3 linked regions of the Rattus norvegicus genome follow. The protein of the gene in region 1 purifies or fractionates together with the protein of each later gene. This does not show direct contact. Links are inferred from orthologs where the notes say so. Each region holds a gene or a part of one and is shown in the gene's direction. Other genes may lie near its edges. The genes, in order: Nf2, Amotl2 and Amotl1.

Region 1 (8,123 bases):
ATGGCCTATACTCCTACCTAGGCCTCCTAAATTCTGGGCTTACAGGTATGAACCACAGAGTTGATTCACATATTTCCATATAAGATGACTTTCTCCAAATGCAATAGTCCTGTTTTATGTATTAATTCTGTTTATGTTTACAAGATGGTGCTGGGGATCAAACCCAGAGCCTTGCTGCAAGGCAGTTATATTCCACTGAGCATCTCCCTGTCTTCCTACTCATTGATTTTTAAAGAAATGTGTTATTAATTACTACTACTACTACTACTATTACTACTACTACTACTATTACTACTATTATTTTGTTTTTAGAGACAGTGTTTCTCTGTGTAACAGCCCTGGCTGTCCAGGAAGCTCACTCTTTGACTATGCTGGCCTTGAACTCACAGAGACTCACCTGCCCTTGTTTCCTGAGTGCTAGGATTAAAGGCATGCGCCACCATGCCCAGCTTAAAGGAATTGTTGGACTTCATGCCAGGCAAAGATAGAGCAAACAGAGATGCAGAAAGTGAAGTATTAGCTCTCAAGGAAGTCTGGTTCAGAATGACTTGACTGCTCTAGTGCGTAAGTGCAGTGTGGGCTGTGAGATGGCCCAGCGAGTAAAGGTGCTTGAGACCCTCATGTTGGAAAAGAGGATGAAGTCCTACAGGTTGTACTCTGATCTTCACAGGTGGGCCGGGGAAGGTGCCTTCTCCTTCCATAAATAAATGAGTGAAGTGGAAGGGCTGGTAATGTGGTTGCTCTAGTTCTGTATGTGCTAGCCCTGGCTGTCTGATCAAGTCCTCAGAATTAACTTACTGTAAAGGCAGGGATACATTCAGTATCCATGTCACCAGAAAACAGATACACTGAGATCTTGTGTCTGATGAGGGAAGTGACGAGGACTGGGAGCTAAGGTGCCTGATGCCAGAGCTCCTGCTTATCAGAGTGGCCCAGAGTCTGGACCCTAAGAACGCAAGACACCAGGCAGGAGGCAGGCCTAGACAGTGAATAACAGGTATGGTTTATGTTGCCTGCTTTTGGTTTGGTTTGGTTTGGTTTGGTCCCCCCCTGACTCTCTTGACAGAGTTTTGCTGCATGACCTCTTGTCTCAGTTTTAAACGTTGGGGTTACAGGTGTGCATCATCACACCAAATTCAAAATGAACTGGCTTGTTTTACATTTATTTATTTACTTACTGGAGGAAGGGGTGTAGCATGTGCCAGGGTGGTTGTGTAGAGGTCAGGGGACAACTTGTTAGGAGTCTTTTTCTCTCCTTATATTATGTAGGTCACAGAGATGAAACTCAGTTTTGAAGGATTGGTGACACTCACCTTAACCAGCTGAGCCATTTGCCAGGCCAGTTGCATTTCTTAATCCTAGCATTCTGGCTGTGGTTTTTATAACTGGTTGTCCTGGGACGTGAGCCTTAGGTAGCTCTCCTCTTCAAGTTCTTAAATTGGAAACTCCACATGACTTAACATAGTGGGCGTGTCACAGTGGAACTGTTGCTTTACCCCTCAATTTCACAAAGGCTGTTCACTACACATCACATATATTTGCACATTAAATTTTCAAATATGTGTTTTTCAGAGAGCACAAGGATTAAGGTCCCCTGGTATGACCTGACACAACAAACTAATGTGCCCTCTCTAGGGGTAAGAGACCATCATGTTCCATCACATCAGTTCCTTATGTGGCAAGCAGACCCCAAGCTACCTTGGCATGCCATAATAGGAAATAGTTTTGGGAGTCTCTATGGCAGTCGTCCTGCTAAAACAGAAGTGTTGGTTCATTTTGATTCTTCTGTATGGTCTGGTGTGAAAAACAGAGCCTGGGGTTTCCCTACTACTTGTGTCTTCTTACTGACAGCTCTAGGGTTCTGTAGCAAGGCTAGAAATAAGCTTATGAAATTCATAAATAATACTCCATACCAGAGGAATACTATGACTAAATTAACTTGACCCAAACCCAAACTAAGGACTTTCTTTCTTTCTTTCTTTCTTTCTTTCTTTCTTTCTTTCTCTCTTTCTCTCTTTCTCTCTTTCTCTCTTTCTCTCTTTCTCTCTTTCTCTCTTTCTCTCTTTCTTTCTTTCTTTCTTTCTCTCTCTCTTTCTCTCTCTCTCTTTCTCTCTTTCTTTCTTTCTTTATTTATTTATCTTATTTATTTTTGGTCCTATGTGTGCTCATTTCTCGTTGGACAATATAAGCATGTAAAGAAATACCTTCCCTGTGAGTTTATTTGCTAAGCAACTCATTCTTTTTGTTTTGTTTTTCATTTTATATTTTGTGGTCCTTAGGATGGAAGCCACATACAGGCAAGAGCTGTACCTCTGGGTTAGTCTTTTTTTCCCTGCTTTGCTGGGGTGGCCATAAAATTCTTTCTTGGGAATGTGTCTGCACTTTTACAATGTTTGTAGCATATGCTAATTGTATAAAGTAATGGGTGTCATTATGACGTTTTCATATGTGCATATAAAGTACTTTGATCTAGATAGCTTGTTTCGTTTTGTTTTTGATGTGAGTCTTGCTATGTATTCCTGACTGACCTGGAAATCTATATAGAACAGTCTCGCTTTGAACTTGTGATCTTCCTCCCTATGCCTTCTACCAGTATGACAGGTATGTGTTACCATATCCAGCTTAGAGACACCTTCCAGGGACATCCCTGGAGTCGAGGATCATTCTGGTCTCCTCAGTGGTTGGAGTAGCAGTCGCTGAGTTTGTGTTTCAGTTTCCCTTGCTACATTGTCACTTGCTTTTCATCTTGATTTCAGAAACTACGCATTTCTCTTTTAGAGCAACCCCTTTTCTTCACACTATTCCTTCCCTTACATCTTTGACCACTGACCATGTTCAGAAATTACAGGAACTTGCTATATCGTGTCACATCCATTTTAAGCCCTCTGACTTTTTTTATTCTTCACCACCCATCAGCCTTCCTGTTTAAGCCTGCCGTATCATTGCAATTACTAAAAAGCTAATAAGGTTAACATCCCTGCTCCTTCCCTCTCACCGCCGCCGCCTCCTCCTCCCCCTCCCCCCCTTACTTTTCAGTGCTAGAGACTGAATTTATTTATTTGTCCTGTCTAGAATGCCCCTCCTTTGTATCTTTGCTATTCTGCCATATACTTCTAAGACCTGCCATTTGGACTAGGTGAGCTCCAAACCTATGAGATATTTGTGACATGTCCTACCAATGAGACACTAATATATGGTGTTCTCATACTAATATATTGAGTATATTGTTGGATTAAGCCCTACTGGACTGTGAGCTTTCTGAAGGCAGGGAGCTTTGCAGGGTGGCCTCCAGAGCAGGCCCATCCTGGGTTCTAACTGCAGGACTCCACTGACCTTTCCTCACAGCTGCCCAAGGTGGTCAGGTTATCAACTTCTGCAGCCCCAAACTTGGTACCCTGTGCTCCTCTAACTCATCCAGGCCTTATTCCTAGCACCAAGAAGCTAGGACCAGAGGCTGTGTGGTTGCTACTTTTGTGGATTTTTAGTTGGTGTCACAAGAAACTGTACTCTTTTCTTTCAGTTTACTATTAAACCACTGGATAAGAAAATTGATGTCTTTAAATTTAACTCTTCAAAGCTTCGTGTTAATAAGCTGGTAAGTTGAAACCCTGGTTTTCATGACAGAATTAACTTTTCTGAGAAATTGAGTGTGTGTGTGTGTGTGTGTGTGTGTGTGTGTGTGTGTGTGTGTAATTTTGCCCTTTTTTAAAAAGCCTCTCTACCAGGGATCTATCTGGCCCTAGTTTCTCTTGCTAAGAGATGTAAAACGATATTTGACCTAGTAAATACTTTTCTCTTTAGTTTAACCTACAGAGTTAACAAGTTAACTTTTTTTTTTTTTTTTTTTTTTTTTTTTGGTGTGTGAGGGGGCGGGAATGGAGATAGACTCTATGCTTTCCTCGTGCTCAGAAACATTCTACCACTGAGGTATATCTCAGCCCTCCACTTGCCATATTGATTTGCATTTTATAATTTCTAATGAAGTTAAATCTATAATCTGTTGACTAAATCTAATTTCCTGTTTAAATTCTTGTCTCATGTCTTGGCCATTTTCCTCTTGGGTTGGTTGGTTGTTTTCTTTATTAATTATTATCATCTTTATTAATTATTATCACCTTTATTAATTATTATCATCTTTCCTTGTAAGGTTCATCTTCCTTCTATATGATGTCATAACAAGTAAATTTTACCTTTCCTGTCAACACTTTAAAAACCTCTGTCATTTGTTCCTCTGTATTTATTTTTTATTTGAAATCTTTCCTTTTTCAGATTAAAAAAACAAAACAAAACTCTATCTTCAAATCTTTCAAAGTTACCTTTGAAACTGGAATCAGCTTTTGACATGAGGGAGAAGGCCCAAATATTTCTTTCCGCATGAATAGCCTTTGACCCCACCCAACTTTTTGGTTGGTCTTTCTGTCCTCTTGATTTGCCTTGCCATACCTTGGCTTAGGAGACTGTGGTATGTATGTGGGTGACTAATGGTGGCTTCTCCCACTTGAGATCTTTACTCCTGGATTCCCTGAGGCACTTGTATATGTTTCCAGAGAGCACTGGAAGCGTCAGCAAGGCTTTTGTGTTTTATTCCACTTTTGGTCTTCCCCAGGTTTACAAAGCCAGGATGCTATGACATTGTGGGCTGGGAGGCAGCCAAGTAAATTTACATGCTTAATATGTTTTTATTTCCTTGGCCACAGATTCTTCAGCTGTGTATTGGGAACCATGACCTATTTATGAGGAGAAGGAAAGCTGACTCTTTAGAAGTTCAGCAGATGAAAGCCCAGGCCAGGGAAGAGAAGGCAAGAAAACAGGTGAGAAGGTCTTGGTTGTCTCACTTGGTTTGTGTATGTGTGTCTATGTGCTCTTGATTTGGAGACCACAGGTCAGCCTGGGGTATCATTTCTCAAGAGCCATCTACTTTGTCTTTTGAGGCAGTGTGTCTCAGTAGACCAGGGACTCAGTGATAAATTTAAGCCAGCAAGCCTAGGATTCTGTCCGTCTCTACCTCCCCAGTATGCTGCCATGCCTGGCCTTTTTCCTGGGTGCTAGGGATCAAACCCATGTTTGCCTAGCAAGAGCTTTCTTAACTGAGATTTCTTCCAGTCTGTAGTTAGTTTGTTTGTGTGGGACACATTCTTGCTATATAGTTCTGACTGGCCATGTACACTCTGGCATTTAGTCAGGCCTCAAACTCGAGACAGTTTTCTTGCCTCAGCCTCTAATTCAGGGATCACTGACATGTGCCATCATGCCCAGCTCAGGTATGACTTTAGGGCAAACACGGTGGCAAGCTTGGCGTTGTGCATTTGATACCTGAAGGCCCTCGAAAGATGGAACAAGAATTAACTCGACAGAATTGTCCCCTGACATCCACCCCTGTGCCATAGGACATGCGCCACACATGCTTTCTCATACACATGACAATAAAGCAATACCTTGCTTTAGGGGTTGGGGATTTAGCTCAGTGGTAGAGCGCTTGTCTAGCAAGCTCAAGGGCCTGGGTTCGGTCCCCAGCTCTGAAAAAAAGAAAAAAGAAAAAGAAAAAAAAAAAAAAACCAAAACAAAACAAAAAAAAAAAACCTTGCTTTAATTGATATTGCTTTTGGTTGGTCTTGGCCTACAAGGTAAGGGATGGCTGTTGCCAGCTAGACTCTTTCTTTTCTTTTTTTCGGATCTGGGGACCGAACCCAGGGCCTTGCACTTGCTAGGCAAACGCTCTACCACTGAGCCAAATCCCCAACCCCGTTCCGGCTAGACTCTTATGGTTATAGATGTACCTGCTCTTATTACATTGCTAATGCCTGGATAGTGGGATGTCAGCTATAGAAACAAGCATGTGGGCTGTTAAGATGGCTCAGTGGGTAAAGGTTTGCTACCAAATCTGACAACCTGAGTTTAATACTCAGAGTGAGGTAGAAGGAGAAAACTGACTTCTACAAGTTGTCCTCTGACTGCCACATGCATACTTACATATACAAATAAATAAACATAATAAAAAGTTTAAGGGAAATTCATACTAAGTTCTAATTTTAACATATCTTAACATAATTTTAACATATCTTTTAAAAAAAAAACCAAGAACATTTCTGTACTTCAAGTGTGATCATAGACTGGGAGTCAGGCGTGGTTTTGTCTCTGTCTGTCTAGCTGTCTTTATTGTGGGTCTCCTCTGCCAGGTCAGTGCCCTTTCTAATTAGATGGTGATAGAATACAGGGCAGCATTTCAGTGTGTGCTGTGGAATGCTAATTAGGCTCTCAGCTGCAGTCTTCACTGCAGGTCAACCTGGGTACACGTGGCTGGCCCTCCGAAGGGGGTGCTGTAGCACCTATCCGCAGACTCTCAGGCCTTCTCTGCTCACTGACATCCACAGCTGAATTGAGCCTTCCTGCTGCGAATATCAATTGTGCTTGGGATGAACTGTTTGATAGAGTAGCTGCAGCTGCGCTTGGTCCCCCTCAGGACTTGAGTGCTCAGAGGTGTAATAATTAGTCTGTGTGGTATTCTCTGATTTGGGAGCCACAGAGAGGCTGGCTCCAAGCCCCAGGCTTTATAGAGAAATGCCCAATTTGAGCCAGTGAGCTGTGAGCTTGCCCTCTGTTTGTTGTCTGGGAGAGTAGGCCATCAGTTTGCTCTTTAGGGTGCTTTAAGAGTGATGGTGTAGGTTCTGTTGATCAAAAATGTGCTACTGAGCTACCATGGGGTGTAGTGATGACTTAAGAAGCATGCTCTTGGGGGCCCGAGAGAAGGCTCAAGGGTTAAGAGCACTGTCTGCACTTCTTTTTTTTTTTTTTTCTGGAGCTGGGGACAGAACCCAGGCAGGGCCTTGCACTTGCTAGGCAAGCGCTCTACAACTGAGCTAAATCCCCAGCCCCCTAGCTGCACTTCCAGAGGTCCTGAGTTCAATTCCCAACAACCACATGGTGGCTCACAACCATCTGTAATGAGATCTGATGCCCTCTTCTGGTGTGTCTGAAGACAGCTACAGTGTACTCATATATAATAAATAAATCTTAAAAGAAGATTGACTTGACTCTTAAGTAGAGAAAAGTTTAGAAATTAAACTCTAAAGGTATCAAGGGGAATGATGACCCCTGAACCCTAGCAGAGCATAGTGCAAATGCCACCTGACAGAACTTGGTGACCTTGCAGCTATATCTGTCATTTTGTATATGACTCAGTTTCCCTATCTGTCAAGTGAAGCTAGTGATGCCTCTTTCCAGAGGACAGATTGCACCCAGAAATCCTCTAAGTCATAACGTGCTTTAAAAACAGGAAGTCCTTTATTATTAGTGTTAAGGCTTCATGAAAAGTACAAGGCTGGGAACTGGGGACAGCCTGGTCCTTTTTTTTTTTTTTCTTTCCCAAAAGGAGAATGGAAATTGTATTTTAGTGGAAATTGAAGAACAGGTTGCCAACCTGTTCACTGAGGTCAAGAGGAAAATCAAAGAACTTTATTGCTTGTCTGTTTTGCATTCTTTCAATTAAAATGTGCTGAGGGGCTTCATATTTAGAAAGGGCAACCTTGTAGAAGTAGAGTTTGGTGAGATTGAAGCACAAAGGAGTAATTAAACATGATTTAGTTATCTAAGGCAGAAAATAGTACATTGGTCACTTCTGGCTTCTGCTTTCTGAACTCAGTGTCCTGGAGTCACAGGGAACTGTGCTGTCTTTAGTCTTGGTCCTCTTATTAAGCTTGGCAAGTGGCCCAATTAACACTGTGATCCAGAAGGCTAGGGGTGGCAGTAGAGACATTGTACTGTTTCCCCGAGGATGGATCTGTGTTCCTGTCTGAGTTGCCTCTACATGGGGCTGTACAAGACTGTGCAAAGCCACTGCAGCTTCCTGCTGGGACATTCTGTGTGGGAACTGTCATTCTCTGTAAGCAGAGGGAGAAATGGTGGCATTGTGGACAAAATCGTGTGTGGGGACTAGAAAAGTCAAGGTGTGGCTCATCTGAAGAGAGGAGAGACCCTTCTGGGCCCTTGTTTTCCAGAGGAGGCACCTGTATGGAGAATAACTGACGCTCACGGGGCAAAGCTATACAAGGGTTCCCAGACAACAGAGCACTGCAAGGGCAGGTTATATCCTGTGCAAGAGTGCACTTTTCTCTACATATGGTGAC
Region 2 (8,123 bases), on another chromosome or scaffold:
GGCGCGAGCAAGCAGATCGTCGGCGCCACCGACGAGTGCGCACCTCCGTTGCCGACCGTACCTAAGCCGAACCCGGTCTGCGTGCGCCGGCAGCCGCGGGCCGCAGCGGTAAGCAAGGCGCCTGGCGCTCCGGGTAGTGCGCGAAGCCTGCGGGGACGCTTCCCAGCGGCACCCGGACACCGCGATCAGCCCGACTCTTTCTGGAGATCGGAGCTGGAGTGGAGGAGCCTCCCCGGGGAGGGGACACTGTGCACCCTTTCGAGGATTGATCCTGGGTGTCTGTCTAGCCTAGGCTGCTCGCGCTTTTGTGGGGGTGAGGACACGATTCTCCGACCCACTGGGGCTGGAGGAAGGACAGAGGATCAGTGTTTGGGAGTGTGCGTCTCGTACGGGGCAAGTGAATAGCTGCTGTAGGCATATCTCGCCGAATACGGGGTCACCGTGATTGCTTTGTCTAGATTGGGGATACAGGTGGCTTTTACCGTCAGCTAGATCAAGAATTCCTCTTTGTCTTCCTTGGAAAATCCTCTCCGGAGCCACGAACTGGCTCTCACTTAGAAAGAATGCAGCCTGCTGTCCAGTCCGGTGACGTCAGCGCTGAAGTATTTGGAAAACAAAGAGGGTTAGGGAGAGAGGCGGACCCGCGATGCTTAAAGACCTCTCGCGGGTGTGGGTTTTGCTTGCCCGGGGCACTCGGGCAACCACCAGTGCTAGTGGTCCACCTCGGTGGAGGTGGGAAACGCGGGAACCCTGGTCTGGCTGACTTAGAGACTAGCGTTGGTTCTTTTTGCTGGAGGGAGCCCGAGCCAAGGCCAGAGAAGCATGTTTGCTTAGAAAGGTAGCTGGTTTTCCGAGTGCAGTGTTCCAGAGCAGCCCAGGTACAACGTCCGAGTAAGGAAGCTGATTTTTAGAAATTGCTCAACCCTAAGAATTTGAAAGATTGTGCATCTAGGGGATTAGATTGGGACGTGTGTGTGATGAGAGGCCTCGGAAATGTTCCGTGCTCCCGGGGAGCCTGGCTCATAGTTGGCGCGCCTGGAATCTGTCGGGAAGGCTTTGCATTCCTTCTAGCCGCTCCCGGATCCTCCTTAGCGGGAGTCAGCCCAGACAGTGATTAACGTAGGAAATGCCGCGTAGAAAAAGCTGCGTGCGAACAGTCTCAAGTCTTACACATTGTAGGGTGCAGCTGGGGTGGGGGTGGGGGTATTAGTTGCCGGCTTGGGTGCCCTCGGGGCTCATTACCAACATACCATTCAGGGCTCTGCCAACACATCATTCCCAAAGTGGGGCTGCACACTGGGGATAGCACGGAAGAGAAAGGGGCCACATCCCCACGAGCCCTTCCTTCGTCTTCCCCCTCACCTCATTACCCCATCAACTGGCATAGGTGGTCGTTACTAATATCAACAGAGATACAGAGGGTCATCCCCTGTGTACCTCTAGGGTACAAGTAGAGGCTTTTCTAAGTTTGTATGTGTGTGTGTGTGAAGAAAGGAGGAGGAGGATCAATATTTTGCTGGCTCAATTACTGCAGTCACACCTCTGCCTCACCAGTTCACATGCAGCTTCTCAGGCTGCTCACCTTGCAGAGTGACTGCGAAGGTCATCTGTGACAAGGATTTATTTTATCTGCAGCCCAGGGTCCGACTCCTGGAAGAGAAGCCAGTGGAGGGTGGTGGACTATGGTGGCTCAAGCCTCCTCATTCGAAACAGTCAATGGAGTCATTTGCTTAGGGCTTCTTTCTACTGGGCTACATTCTGTCTTTGGCCACTCTGCGAGTAAACTGAGGTCCTACTGCTTAAGTGGTTGAATTTGATGGACACCTGTCCTGGGGTCACTCGTGAGAGCGTTTGGGGGTAGTGGCTGATTGTAGGCGAGTGTGATTATTAGATAACCTTCAGGTTTTCTGTTGTATTTCTGTGGTCTCCATACATGTCCTTAGAATGGTAAGCATTTGCCAAGGATTTATAGCATGCCAGGCGTTCTACCTCTTACATTTCAACTCCCAAGAGGCACACACACACACACACACACACACACACACACACACACACACGGCAGACTAAGATCAGAAGCTCAGTAACTAAACTTAATCAATTGATGGCCATATTGGCACTTGGATCTGGGCCTGTGTAAAACCACCCAACTATCTCACCTTCTCCTTCATCCAGAGTGTTTTGGCAAGTGCCCCTCCCTCCTTTGTATGTGCTTCCACTGACTGCTATTCTTTCTGTCTGTTAGGTGCTCTGAGACCAGGTGCCTGCTGGCCATTGTCTAGGCAGGTGTGTGCAAGCCAGAGAAGCATGAGGACACTGGAAGACTCCTCAGGGACAGTCCTGCACCGCCTCATCCAGGAGCAGCTGCGCTACGGCAACCTGACAGAGACTCGCACTCTGTTGGCCATCCAGCAGCAGGCCCTGCGGGGTGGGGCTGGAGCTGGGGGCACAGGGAGCCCCCAGGCCTCCCTGGAGATCGGAGCACCCGAGGACAGTCAGGTGCTACAGCAGGCCACCAGGCAGGAGCCCCAGGGCCAGGAGCATCAGGGTGGAGAGACCCACCTGGCAGAGAACAGGCTGTACCGACTCTGCCCACAGCCCAGCAAGGGAGAAGAGCTGCCCACCTATGAGGAAGCCAAAGCCCATTCGCAGTACTATGCAGCGCAGCAGGCAGGCTCCCGGCTGCATGGTGGGGACCGGGATCCTAGAGGGGCCTCAGGAGGCAGCCGACGTCAGGATGAGGCTCTTCGAGAGTTGAGGCACGGCCATGTGCGCTCCTTGAGTGAACGACTTCTGCAGCTGTCCCTGGAAAGAAATGGTGCCCGGGTCCCCAGCCACATGAGCTCTTCCCACAGTTTCCCTCAGCTGGCCCGCAGCCAGCAAGGTCCCCAGCCCCGAGGACCCCCAGCTGAGGGCCCGGAGCCCCGTGGGCCACCACCTCAGTACCCACACGCTGTAATGGCTCAGGAGACTGCGGCTGTCAATGACCCAAGATACCGTCCGAGAAGCAGCCCACACTTCCAGCATGCTGAAGTCAGGTAACCTTGGGTTTCTTCTAGTTCAGTGTCCCAGGAGGAGAACCCCAATATCATACATGTCGAGGATCTCAACTTTCATGTCATGATCCCGATCCCAGGGCACCCCCATCAGCTCCTGGGGCTGTCTGATGTAAATCTACTCTCTTTTTTTTTTTTCCTTCGGAGCTGGGGACCGAACCCAGGGCCTTGCGCTTCCTAGGTAAGCGCTCTACCACTGAGCTAAATCCCCAACCCCAATCTACTCTCTTTTGTCTTGAGAAGGGAGGGCTGGTGGCTGGAGGGATGGGAGGACTTAGCTGATCCAGTTATGGAAGCACATGCCTGAAATATTTAGGTGAGGCAGGAAGATCACAAGTTGACCACCATCCTGGGCTAAGTAGCAAGACTGTCTAAAACAAAAAGAAACTGACATCATTGTTTTAACTCAGAATATAGATGGCATTGTCTATAGCATTCAAATAAGGAGGGGAGGGTCCCAGGGGATGTGAAGGGGGGTTCAAAGGTGAGAGTTTTTTTTTCTTTTAAAGAAAGGACTAATTAAAGACAATGGGAACCCTTACCAAACTGCTCCGAGTTAAGTAGGCCAAAGGTGGAACTTCTGGAAGGTTTTTAAGAAAAAGTGGGCATTTTTGGTTGTTGTCGTCAGTCATTGGGATGTGTTGCTAATGAGGCTGAAAGAACTAGGTGGCTCGCTAAGCCACTTCTGTACAGTTCTGCCTTGTCTGCCAGTTAATTACTTATTAGGGTGTCCCTTGTGCTTGTCATTGTGGGCCTAGGTGAGTGAGTGGTTTTGGTTTGTTTGTTTGTTTGTTTGTTTTTTGGTGGAGGCTCAGAATGCTGTTAACCCAGGGTAGTGACTTGGCTTGACTGAATGTGAAGTCTTGGGTGTGTGTGTGTGTGTGTGTGTGTGTGTGCGTGCTGATCAACTCTTATAAGAGATATCAATATCAGCCTTAGAGAATGGGTCATAGAGGTGGGAGACCAACGAGAGCAAGCAGGAAGCTAGATCACTGCCGGAGTCCAGGTTCCTAGAAATGAGGGGCCACCTTAGTCATCTTAGCTGGCCCCTGCGCCTTTTCCAGAGAAACAGGCACTGCTGCTGTATCTCCCTGGAGGTGGGGTGAGGTGGGGCTCCAGGGAACCTAACCTGGAGATCCTCTGGGTTCAAGGTCAGTGTCTGGCTCACTTTGCCCTTGCTGAGTCCTCATTTGGTCCCTCTATTTCCCACCAATTGGTTTTCCCACCAATTGAAGAGAGTGGTGGCCCTGGGCCCTCGTGGGTTTACTCCAGCCTCCTGGATCCCCACCTCGCCTCCCACCTCAGGGCCGGTCAGGAAGAGTTTCTTCTTTTGGACCAGCCCTCTTGAACCCTGCCAGGAAAAGATAATATCCAGGCAAGGAAGTGGGCTGTTTGCAGGAGAACAAAAAGACAGGGAGGAGGGCAGTGGGAAATGAAGAACCAGGAGTGAGTGTGAACAACGGAAAGGAGTCGCTATTCTTCTCTGGGGCTAAATCATTCTTGAAGAATGTCAGTTGTGTCTGCCTGGCCTGTGGGGGGCAGGGAAGGGTGGAGGGGGACAACAGTTTTCTGAGGCCACCCTGAGAGTGACCACACTTGGCAGCAAGGGAGAGTTTAGCCAGGCCAGTGGCGCTCTCTACCCTGCTCTCCCTGGAGCTGGTAGGAAAAAGCACATGCAGGCTTTTTCCTTGGCTCACCAGATGAGGAGTATTTATTTGTTAGGGACTGAGTCAGGGGCTCAAAGAACAGGGGAGCCATAGGCTACAGGGACGATTTTTGAACACTGGGAGTTGGGGGGGGTGGGGGGGGGTTGGGGGGGGTTGGCCCAGAAGTGAAATCCAACTTCCAAGAGGCTTCTGGAAAATTCTTAGTATAACTGAGAAGGCGGTTGTGACTCTTAGGGTTACAAGGCCCCAGAAAGGCCCTGTGACTACCTGTGCCTCACTCTGTTCTCTATTAGAGCATGAGGATGTGTTACACTCATGGCCAAGGGCCGGTAGAACGCAGTCCTGAGCTCCGCTGTTGAGCTAATCCAGAGGTGGCCCCTTGTTCTTCATAAACTGAGTTGCTCACCTACAGAGATGGAGTCTAGACAGTCATGGGCGAACCTGCTGTCACTGGTGTCAAGCCCAGCTTCTGTGGCTCCTCGTGATTTAGCAGACACAGGTGACACTTGGCAGACACAGCACTGGTTTGCTGAAGGCCTAGCAGCAGCGGGAGCTGAAATCTGTCCCCGTTTGTGAGACTGAGCTCTTCTGATTCTCTGCTGTCACCTTAGCTGGGGGGTCTTTGAAAAGAGTTTTAGTAGTTGGGGGTAGCAGGACCCTGAAACAGAGAGGGGAAAACTCAGGTGTGCTGCTTTAGCTGACTTGGCTTACCTGCCCGAATCCCTTTACCCCCACACCCCATACCTGGGATTTTGTGTGGCTCCCATCCCCAAAGAACCTTCTATCAATTCAAAAGGTCAAGGGTGCGTTTTTAAAGATAATGTTTAAGCTGTATTTGCTTGGGACAACTAGGATGGCTTGGGCTGATCCCTAAGGCAGCTGTGAACAGAACGAACGTCAGGATGCAGCACCCTGCACACGGGTCCCACTCTCTAACTCTTCGAATCTTAGGCACATAACCTTGTGGCACAGGCTCTCCCTATAGTAGCTCCCTAAAGCCGGGGAGGCTCAATCATCGGCAATAATAGCCAGTGAGTGTGTGTCTGTCTGTGTGTCCATCTCTGAGCTCCGATCACCTCTTCTCTTCCAGGATCCTGCAGGCACAGGTACCACCGGTTTTCCTCCAGCAGCAACAGTACCAGTACCTGCAGCAACCCCAGGAGCACTCCCCACCCCTCCATCCAGCCGCTCTAGGCCATGGTCCCCCAAGTTCCTTCAGTCCACCTGCCCTGGAGGGACCACCCGGTGCCCAGGCCACTTCGGGCAGTGCCCACCTGGCCCAGATGGAGAGCGTGCTGAGGGAGAACGCCAGGCTGCAGAGGGACAATGAGCGGTTGCAGAGAGAGCTGGAGAGCACTTCAGAGAAGGCCAGCTGCATAGAAAAGGTGGGGACTCCCGAAGGCACTCCTGTGTGGGCAGTGCAGAGGGAGGCAGAGGAGCAGGGAAGCCTATCAGGCTGCCTTCTGCAGCACATGCACACACACACACACACACACACACACACACACACACACACACACCCCAAGCTGACTCCAGACAGCTGAGGAACAGCCAAGAGGCCTGCCCTGTTGCATGAGCAGTTGCTGGCCAGTGGTGGTTAGAAAGAACTCATTCACTAGCTCACTGCACACTTGTACCCTCGCCCTGCACAGCCCCCCCTGTGGACACCTCCCACAGAGAGCCCTTTGTGCACCCACACAACAGCCAGTCTGTTCCAGGCCAGCTCTGGCCAAAGAGAAAGCCCCTCCTCTTAGGGAGAAGAAAAAGCAACGTGTTGGCAAAGCAAGCCAGCTAGGAGCACGTGGAAGACCTGTGGCTTCCAAGTGGGAGGGGCAGCCACATGCTCTGGGCAGAGGCAGCTCAGGCTGGGGTCTGGCACCCCCACTTCCTCGGGGGAAGCCTAGCCAATTGTGTACTAAGGCTCAACTTTAGCAATAGCCTCAGGCCTTCCACTTACCATCTATCTACAGCATTCTGAATAGGCTGAACCACCTATATCCTCATCCCTGGTCCTTGGTAAACACTAGGCACGGGGCAGGCTGGAGGTACCATACCACCCTTGAAGAACATCTAGCCCAGGGTCCAGGCAGTAGTCTGGCCTACCTAAGAGGCTGCAGTCCTGTGGTAATCTCACTAGATCCACTGGCCTCCCTCCCTGGGACCCTTCCTGACAGTGAATTTATTGTCTTTCTCTTACAGCTGGAAAATGAAATCCAGCGGCTCTCAGAGGCCCATGAGAGCCTGATGAGGACCTCGTCCAAGCGTGAGGCCCTGGAGAAGACCATGAGGAACAAGATGGACAGTGAAATGAGACGGTTACAGGACTTTAACCGAGACCTTAGAGGTGAGAACTGGGCTCATGGGTTGGGGACGTTGGGAGGACATCATCTGTCAGACTTTGGGGCGGGGCTCTGTTTTAGGGAGGAAATTCAATTCTACACTATTGAGGCCTACATTAGCCCTCATCATTGGGCTCTGATCTGAGCTGGGACTTCCTTATAATCCCATCTCCCCAGCTTAGAGGGTGTGAGCATACAGTTAGGGCCAAGATTAAAGTCCAGGCTAACAGCATCCCTGGGTGTTAAAAACCTCTTTTCTCCTTATTTGAAACAGAGAGATTGGAGTCCGCAAACCGCCACCTGGCAAGCAAGACCCAGGAAGCCCAGGCGGGCAGTCAGGACATGGTGGCTAAACTGCTTGCTCAGAGTGAGTAGGGGACCATTTGAGAAACCTGGGTGGGTGTACAGGCCATGAGGCCACTATGACGTGACCCCACTGCCACGACCACTCCCTTCCCCTTGAGGTTTAACCCGCTTCCTGGCAGAGTGGTACTTCAGGAACAGTTTTGCTGAATGGCTGCTGTGGGAAGGGGTGGTTTCCAAAGTTGGATGGGGACTAGGGAACAGTAACTGGCTGAGCCACACAGTAGGGACTCTCAGTACAGCATTAGTCCCTTCTGTAGGGAGGCCATGACAGTCCTGGCTATAGTTAAATGGAGGACAGTGCTGGTTCTTCAGAGTTTCCTAGCAATTCCAGGCAACAGAAAGGCTGGGGACACAAGAAGCTACAGGGGATGGTTGAGCTGGCAGAGCGTCCTTAGGGTAGCCGCAAATGGGTTTGGTCAACAGCTCCGGTCTAAAGGAGGCATTCATAAAGTTTCTCTTTAAAATAATGAGGTCCGGGCTGGAGAGATGGCTCAGTGGTTAAGAGCCACTGACTGCTCTTCCAGAGGTCCTGAGTTCAATTCCCAGCAACCACACGGTGGTTTACAACCATCTGTAATGAGATCTGGATGCCTTCTCCTGATGTTGTCTGAAGACAGCTACAGTGAACTCTTATATATATAATAAGTATATCTTTCCAGGCATCCCGGGAGCTTCATTAGTTGAGCTGAGCTAAGCAC
Region 3 (8,123 bases), on another chromosome or scaffold:
CGAGAGTAAGTACAAGGCCAGCAGCAAATGCAGAAGCCCTAGTCTCCATGTGTCAGCGGACCCAGTATGGGCACCTTCCACACACTCATAAGATAGCATAGGTTGGCAGGTTGGGGATTTAGCTCAGTGGTAGAGCGCTTGCCTATCAGGCGCAAGGCCCTGGGTTCGGTCCCCAGCTCCAAAAAATAGAAAAGAAAAAAAAAAAAAACCACACACACACAAGATGGCATAGGTTGGTGAGCAGCCTTGATGATACAAGAAGTAGGGATTTTTGTGAATAAATATTGTTTTCCCGAGATACTGTCTCTCTTGTTTGTTTAGCATTTCTTTATTTAAGAGTTCACATGGCTATAATGAATTTTTATCTTAGCCATCCCTCCTTCTAAGTCCCTCCCCTTGCCATAATCCTCTCTTGAATTCATGTCCTCTCTCTGTGTTATGTGTGTTTCTTTGTCTCTCCCTCTCTCCCCCTCTCTCTGTGTATCTCTATCTCTCCCTGTCTCTCTGTCTCTGTCTCTCTCTGTGTATCTCTGTTATCTCTCTGTGTATTTCTGTCTCTCCCAGTTCTCTCTCTCTCTCTCTCTCTCTCTCTCTCTCTCTCTCTCTCTCTCTCCACTAACTAGCCCTACTTCCTCAGCTAAGCACGGTATCTTGTGAAGTCTCCCCCTCCCCGTCCATGCTAGAATGGTGACTGGCTTGCACGGGTCTTGTGCAGACAGCCATAGCTTTGGAGGGTTCCTGGGTGTCACTTGGCTGACGACACGAGCTCGCAGCTGTCCTCCCGTCCTCCATCCAGCTCTTTCCATCTCTGCCCCATTTTCCACGATGCTCCCTGAGATCGCTCTCTGCATCCACTCATTCCCTGTACTCCGTGTAACAATCTGCCTGCTGCAGAAAGCGGTGTGTCTGGTGCAGGTTAAAGCTGCAGTAAGCAGGAGTGTTGGTGAGTGCAGCCCTTAGAGTCTTAATTCTTTAAGTTTGGAGAGAAAATTGAGCCAAGATTTGGGGTGAGCTGCCAGATGGGGGCTTTTCTGGGACACTTTGCAGCTGCTGCCCCTGATTCACATTTCCTGAGATGTTTGCAGGAGTTCCCATCCTGGAGACACTGACCCTGAGGTAGGGTCCTGGAGGTGGAGGAGGGCCTTTGATGTCCTCTAGAAGGTAAAGCGCATCTGTTACCAAGCAAATGCTGCTCTCTCCGTTCTACTTGTGTTTGCATTGAAGACCAAGGAAAGGGGGCTCTAGAGTCAAAGTGTGTCTCGTTTCCTAGGGACACTACCATCAGCAACCACTCAAGGAATGGCAGCTATGGTGAGAGCTCCCTGGAGGCCCACATCTGGCCAGAGGAAGAGGAGGTGGTGCAGGCCAACAGGCGGTGTCAGGACATGGAGTACACGTAAGATACCCACATAAGATGCCAGCTCTGAGTGGATACCAGCAGGTGCTGGACTCCCATGCCAGGCCCTCCTCACTCTCCTACTTTCCTTGGTTCTAACTGGCATGAGCTTAAGGGCTTCAAAGCCTCCTGCTCTGGAGAGGGGAAAGGTGAAGACGGAGGCTGTCTAATAACTGGAGTCTCCATCAGTCCCTGAAAGTTCTGGGCGGTTTTGCCCTACCTCCACAATCCTATGAGCTGAGAATGAAACAGAAATACCATCCCCAAGGTCTAGAGATTGGGGGCCAGAGTTACCTATTCCCACCAAAGATAAAGAGCTCTAACCAGCCAGCATGTGCTCCCCTGACGGATGGACAGTGTCCAGCAGGAGTTGTGATGTCACTGGAATGCCTGAGGCTCCCATGGGCTGATATGAAGAAAGGGCTTCCCAACGGAACCAGAAATAGGTTCAGCAAGTATCTGTGAGTTGTGGAAAGACCCCCGGCTTTCTGCTTCTCATCTTTGGCCATCGGTGGGGAAGCCATCTTCTCTCCTAGAACCCAGCCATTTCTTCACTTTTCCTTCCCCATAGACATTTCCCTGCAGTCACAGTTTACCTCGTGTGGGACCAGAGCTTCTGCTTCCCTGGTGTTCACACCTCCACTCTTTACCCCCAAATGTGAGCCACAGGTGTCCTTAGTTTAGTCCTCAGAGTTCCTAGCAGATGGCTCCTGTCCTTCTCACAGGCCCCTGGGTCTCCCCCATCTGCTGAGGTGCCAGGGAAGGTGCACTGTTTGATCTACTTTGGGAAGCACAGCTTGGGAAAGTTGCAGACCGCCTCTGCCACTCTCAACCCCATATCCCAGAATTACTGTGAAAGTCCCTGAGACAAGTGTTGCAGAGTTTTCTATCTAACTGGCATTTTAATCACACCTTTGTTCTTCCATGGTTTGGTTTTACAGTATTAAAAACCTCCATGCCAAAATCATAGAGAAGGATGCCATGATAAAAGTCCTGCAGCAGCGATCCCGTAAGGATGCTGGGAAGACTGACTCTTCCAGTCTGCGGCCTGCCCGCTCTGTCCCATCCATTGCTGCGGCCACCGGGACACATTCCCGTCAGACTTCACTGACCAGCGGCCAGCTGGCAGAAGACAAGAAGGAAGAGAAGACCTGGAAGGGGAGTATAGGTGAGAAGAGGACCCCGTAGAAAAGAGCATATAGAGCGGCACCTACAGAAGCCCTGAATTGGCCGCCTTATCACTGCTGGATCTTGGGGTGTCATCTTTTGTCAATTTATGCATTCTTCAAAGGGGGAGGAAAGCCAGCCATGTGGGGTTGTGAGGGTTAAATGAGATACACAGGAGAGCTTTGGATTCCAAAGGCTATGTGAGCTCTTGGGCATGGATTGATTCTTGTCAATATAATTAACAAGAAAAACATAAAGTGTCTCAGCAGGATAAGCCTAGAGTCCCTCAGAATCCTGGACCATCTCTGTAACTTCCCATGATGTGTTCTATACCTGTGGAACATGAAAGGGGTCAGGGTCAAGGATGAGGGTCAGCCTGTGTTGTGTATGTGGGATGTTGAGAATTCTCCAGCAGGGGTCTTAGCACAGACATGCTTGTTCACAGGCTGGGCCAGTGAGCTTGGAAAGGAAGCTTCCAAGACCACCTCTCCCCTCGCCCTGCCTGCCAGTGTCTGTCCCTTCTTACACCTGTCCCCTGCTCAGCACACATTTTCATTTCTCTCTATACCCGGAGTCAATGTTCTCCAGCACAGGGCCTCCGTGGTGTCTGGCTGATTTATTCCACAGGGTATAAGGGCTTCCGTATGAACCCACAGAGTAGGGGGATCAAAGACTCTCAACCAGAATCTCATCTGTTTGATGTCCCTCTATTGGTGACCCCAATAACCTTAGCTCATCAGAGAGGATCTACAGGGATGGGAACTGTGATTATTAAAGCCCATCACACGGACAGTGAGGCAGGTTTGGTTGAGGAGTCTAAATTTGTTCAGTTCTGCCAGAAACTGCTCTAGGAGAAATCTGTGTGATGATTCAGGTACACATCACGGTGCCTGGGCTTCTCTCTCAACATTTAGCAGGTCAGTACAAGGCCAGAGAGTTGAGGCCTAAGGAAGACTGGCCATATTGTCTGCACCAGACTACCTCCTTGTCAATGTGACTGGGGCCCTCACATCAGTCATAGAGACAAGAGGGGATCTGGGGTTCGGGTGGAAACCACCCTCACAGGCTTCTGCATAGGACCTTAGGGTTTCCCATTTCACCCATGATGGGCCTGAAGAGCTGATGAGGACCATGGTGTCTACCTTCCTAATTGCTGAGCAGCTCCCAGGAGCACTTGTCCATCCCTTCTCTTCCCCTACTACTAGATGACTGCGTCTCACTCCGGAGTTTCGCCGGGCATCAATAAGATGGGATTCAGGGCAGCAAAAGGCCCTTTTTCCTTCCGAGCTACCCCACCGGTCAAATATGGTTTTCCATTGTTTGAATTTAGAATGCAAATACCAACTCCATACAGAATTTAGTTATATGGACTTGATACATAATACTTCACTTCATCAAGAATGCACACAAGTACTTAAGGGTTTAATGGATATATCATTGAGTAAATAAAGTTATCCCTGATCTAGGAAGAAAAGGGTAAGTGTTCTTACAAAAGGACTTGAGAGAAAACATTATCCTTGAAAAGCTGCTTCTTCTGCCTTCAGGATTCCTGCTGGGGAAGGAGCACCAGGGACAGGCTTCTGCCCCTCTGCTGCCAGCCACACCTGCCTCTGCACTGTCCCCGCCGACCTCCACCACATCAGCCAGCAGCACCCACGCCAAGACAGGCAGCAAGGACAGCAGCACGCAGACCGACAAGATCACTGAGCTCTTCTGGCCCAGCATGGCTTCCCTCCCGAGCCGCGGCAGGCTCAGCACCGCCCCTTCCAACAGCCCCGTCCTGAAACATCCAGCTGCCAAAGGAACCGTGGAGAAACAGGGTATGTGGCCCCTATCTCTCCCGTGCCTAGAGAGATCAGGAAGTCCAGTCAACCCCCGTGTTCAGTGGTGGTCATCACCTCAGGTCGTGTGTTCTTTGTTGCATGGGACTAAGGTGTATCCCCAGGGGATAGGTAGAACAGACATAAGAAGTAATTTGAGGGAGGAAGGATTTGCTCATGGTTTGAGGGACAATCCATCCGTCAAAGTAGCAGTGACTGAAGTAGGAGGCACTTGCTCACATCTGGGCAGACAGGAAATGGGGGGAGTCAGGTCTGCAGCTGGCTTTCTCCTTAGTTTTTACTCAGTCCAGAACCCTAAGACACCGTCTTCTCTGGGCGCTGCCTCCAGTCATTGTGCACTTCCCACCAAGAGATTCGCATAGCCTCCACCGGGGTGTATGAGATTCTTGGGCAAGGTGTGACGTTAGAAATGGTTCCACCATAAAAATTCCCCGTAAACCAAGGTACCCACTGAGTAACAGGTTTCTGATATCTGTCCTCTGTCTGGCAGAGAACTCTCCTGGGCACGGGAAGTCATCAGAACACAGAGGCCGAGTCAGCAGCTTGTTGCAGAAGCCTGAGTTCCCGGATGGAGAGATAATGGAAGTGCTCATCTAACCGTCGTCCTGTGGAGTGTGGTGCCAGCATGCTGACAGACGCACTAGAGGCTGCAAGAAGAGAGAAGATCCAGATGGTCAGTTGCAGTAGCAACTGCAAAACCAGGACAGCTGTGGACACCGTGTCACAGTGTTACCAACGCAGCTGGCTCGTGTCACAGTGTTACCAACGCAGCTGGCTCGTGTCACAGTGTTACCAACGCAGCTGGCTCACTTGTCTGCAGAGGGAGTGAAAGAGAACGCATGCAGGCTGAGAAGCAGAGTTGAGGAGGAGTGGAATTTTCCATTGTAGAGAAATTGTATGTTTTGGGGAGGTTCCATGCTTCCCCGTTCTTGGCTGATAAACAGATGAAGAAAAGCCAGCCTTTCCTTGGAATGACCTTCTTCCCTTTGTCTCTTAGCAGGTTTGGTTTAAGAAGAATCTTGGCATAATGTAGTGTGTGTGTGTGTGTGTGTGTGTGTGTGTGTGTGTGTGTGTGTGTGTGTGTGTGTCCTTAGCAGATACATCCAGGATAATGGGGGATTCCACAGGCAAGTTTTGTCACCTTCTTGGCTGTTTTCATTTGTGGTTTGTGGTTTCAGAGAGTGTGAGGCTTTGCTTGTCTGGATTGAATGGTATTTTCTGAGCAGGATGGGAGAGAGATGCCCTTGGCCCTCATCCGCCCTGACTTCTTTGAACTTATCTGTCTTGTCTCTACTTATTATTTTGTTGTAATTTTTTTCTGTTTAATTAGACATAGCAGAGTTCCTTACGTATGGGACTTAGGAGACTACCATCCATGCTGTGGTGTCCAATTGGACAGAGCCTCCTGTTGACACCCCGGCTGCTTCCCCACACCTCTGCTTAGCCAAACTGCAGCTGTCAATCTTACTGTGAGCTAGGGAAACTTGGATGAGGAGTCCATGAGTCGATAGATAGGGTAACATCGTGCCCTGATGTGCCTCTCATTCACATCCGCTCTCTTGCAAGGAACTTGACAGTCACACCCCAATGCCCTGTAGGAAGGCTTCCTTGTGAGCAGGCACCACAGGAACCCCATGATGGCTTATGCAGAGCTCTCTGGGTGGCTGCGAGATCTCACAGGCATCCCCCAGCCACTTTCTGTATCGGAAGCTCTCAGTTCTGTTCATTGCTCCCTCTGGCCTCCTTCTGCCCTGGCTCCTGTTGATGAGCACAGTGCCGTCCCTGATCAGTTCTTTCTTCCTGTGAATTTGCTTCGTAGCCCATCAGGCTGGTAGACTGGCAGCACGGTCAGTGTCACCCGAGGGACAGGACTTCCCTGAAGTGAAGCAGCAATGTCATGGAAGCGAACCCCTGTGAGCGAGAGACAGGCCCCGAGGCTGCTGCCACAAGGTCTCATGTTCATTGCTGGGGACACTAGCTTCCTACAAACCCCAGGAGACGCTGCCCATAGCACGGGTGGCCCTTCAGGCTCCTGAACTATCTATCCCCAGATCAGTAGGATTTGTTTTCCAAGTCCCCTTCCTCATTCCTTCTTTGCTCAAGAGAAAAAAGAAAAGTGGTAACTCTGTGACTCTAAGTCCCTCTTAAATGCAGCGCTGAATCTAGCTTGGCTCGGAGATCTCTGACTTGTCCCTAGGGTGAGACTGTGGCCTCCCCAGGTTGAGGTGGCACGTGTATTGTGAGAGATTAGCCTGGAGAGCAGAGAAGAGGGGGAGGGGGGATAGGGAGGAGAGAGCAATCGTGTCTCCCTACAGGACCCTGGGCCATCTGACAAGACAGAGGAGGTGGGACTGGCTTCCCCATGCTGCACATGGCAGTGGGAACCAGGCTTGGAGTCCCCCACCCCCTCCTTAACCTCTTCTCTCAGACCTTGTAGCCCTAGCTTGCCCTGTGCTCTGCAGGGAAGGGGATGAGAGGACAGCATAAGAAGTCTTGCCAGTTGAGGTGGGGCTGGAAGATGAAGCAGGTGGGTGTAGGAATCATTTTGGATAGGGCATGTTGTTTGGTTGACGGCAACTAATTCTCTTAAGAGCATATTGTCTCCAGTTAATGTTGGAGACAACCCAGAAAGGGAAGGGTATAGAGATGGGTAATTAATGAGATATTCCAGCCCTGGAGCAATGTCTGAGCCACCCCAAACTTAGGCTGTCTCCCAGCATAGGAGTGGGGCACTGCCCCTTACTCAAATTCTAGTCTAAGTGTTCCAGACACATTGTACACTTGGACAGGAAATCTCCTGTTCCAGCATACCCTCTCCCCCATACCCTCTCCCCCATACCCCCTCCCCCATACCTTCTCCCCCATACTGTTAGTACGTTTCAGTTGTTCAAAAGCAAAGGGGGCGCAGACTAGGCTTTAACTGCATGTGGAGTGTAGATTTTGCCTAAGAATCCATGTTGAAGAAGAGAGAGGCTATGTCTTTAAGGTCGAGGCCCTTCAGTCTTCTGTCCTTGTAATTCTCTTGAAGCGTGAGCCCCAGGCACTCAGAAGCCATGTTGTACTCCGGGAAGTTCATGGGACCTGAACTCCTTCAACACCGGGAACAACAGTACTGCATAGGTACTTTGGTACTGACTGTGCAAGCACTAGAAAAAGTACCCGTTGAATGGCCCTCACAGCATCAGGGAAACGAGGCCGAGTTCACTCTCCTGATTGCTCAGATGCAGAAGCTGGACCCGTGAGGTGTACCAGCCCACCTCCAAGCTTGACACAGAGGCTAGCACTTAAAGCAAAGACTCAGAAGAGGAGTCTCAGTCACAGGCTGCACAGCCTTGAACATGATATCTAGAACTATGCCTGGGTGATCGGTGGCCCAACTTGTGACACTTGTGTGCACATAGGGAAGCTGACGCTCCTCTCGGGGCCTGAAAACAGGACTAAACCCAAACCCCATATAACTAACCATACCACTGCCATCCACAGGCGTGGATGGAAGTCTTCACGGTCTGTTACAAGCACAAGTACAAAGCCGATAAAAATAAGTCAAAGCCCTTCCTCGTGGTGCAGAGGGCTCCTCCTCAGATCTCTTGGAGCCTTTGATCATAGAGCTTGACGGTCTCCTCTCGGGATAAAGGACAGGTAAAGGCTGTGGCCTTCAGCGGTGACTGCCCCACACCCTGCTTTCCTTAGGGGTGGAGACAAGGAATGGTGGGGCCAGT

Evidence for each region.
Region 2: the proteins of Nf2 (region 1) and Amotl2 purify together in Homo sapiens (affinity purification with mass spectrometry; 5 studies listed by BioGRID and IntAct, with this or other methods). This does not show direct contact. The link is inferred for Rattus norvegicus from reciprocal best matches to the Homo sapiens genes NF2 and AMOTL2.
Region 3: the proteins of Nf2 (region 1) and Amotl1 purify together in Homo sapiens (affinity purification with mass spectrometry; 6 studies listed by BioGRID and IntAct, counting the BioPlex papers as one, with this or other methods). This does not show direct contact. The link is inferred for Rattus norvegicus from reciprocal best matches to the Homo sapiens genes NF2 and AMOTL1.

What each region holds. Positions count from the first base shown.
Region 1 is NC_086032.1:83,875,875-83,883,997, reverse strand, and holds part of Nf2 (merlin), read left to right. Parts: intron 1-3,520; coding exon 3,521-3,595; intron 3,596-4,697; coding exon 4,698-4,811; intron 4,812-8,123. UniProt on the Homo sapiens protein: Probable regulator of the Hippo/SWH (Sav/Wts/Hpo) signaling pathway, a signaling pathway that plays a pivotal role in tumor suppression by restricting proliferation and promoting apoptosis.
Region 2 is NC_086026.1:112,182,606-112,190,728, forward strand, and holds the start of Amotl2 (angiomotin-like protein 2), read left to right. Parts: upstream 1-20; 5' UTR 21-108; intron 109-217; exon of another isoform or gene 218-878; intron 879-2,242; coding exon of another isoform or gene 2,243-2,304; coding exon 2,305-3,035; intron 3,036-5,810; coding exon 5,811-6,105; intron 6,106-6,919; coding exon 6,920-7,064; intron 7,065-7,333; coding exon 7,334-7,426; intron 7,427-8,123. UniProt on the Homo sapiens protein: Regulates the translocation of phosphorylated SRC to peripheral cell-matrix adhesion sites. Required for proper architecture of actin filaments.
Region 3 is NC_086026.1:19,632,389-19,640,511, reverse strand, and holds part of Amotl1 (angiomotin-like protein 1), read left to right. Parts: intron 1-1,270; coding exon 1,271-1,396; intron 1,397-2,337; coding exon 2,338-2,564; intron 2,565-4,107; coding exon 4,108-4,383; intron 4,384-4,894; coding exon 4,895-5,001; 3' UTR 5,002-8,123. UniProt on the Homo sapiens protein: Inhibits the Wnt/beta-catenin signaling pathway, probably by recruiting CTNNB1 to recycling endosomes and hence preventing its translocation to the nucleus.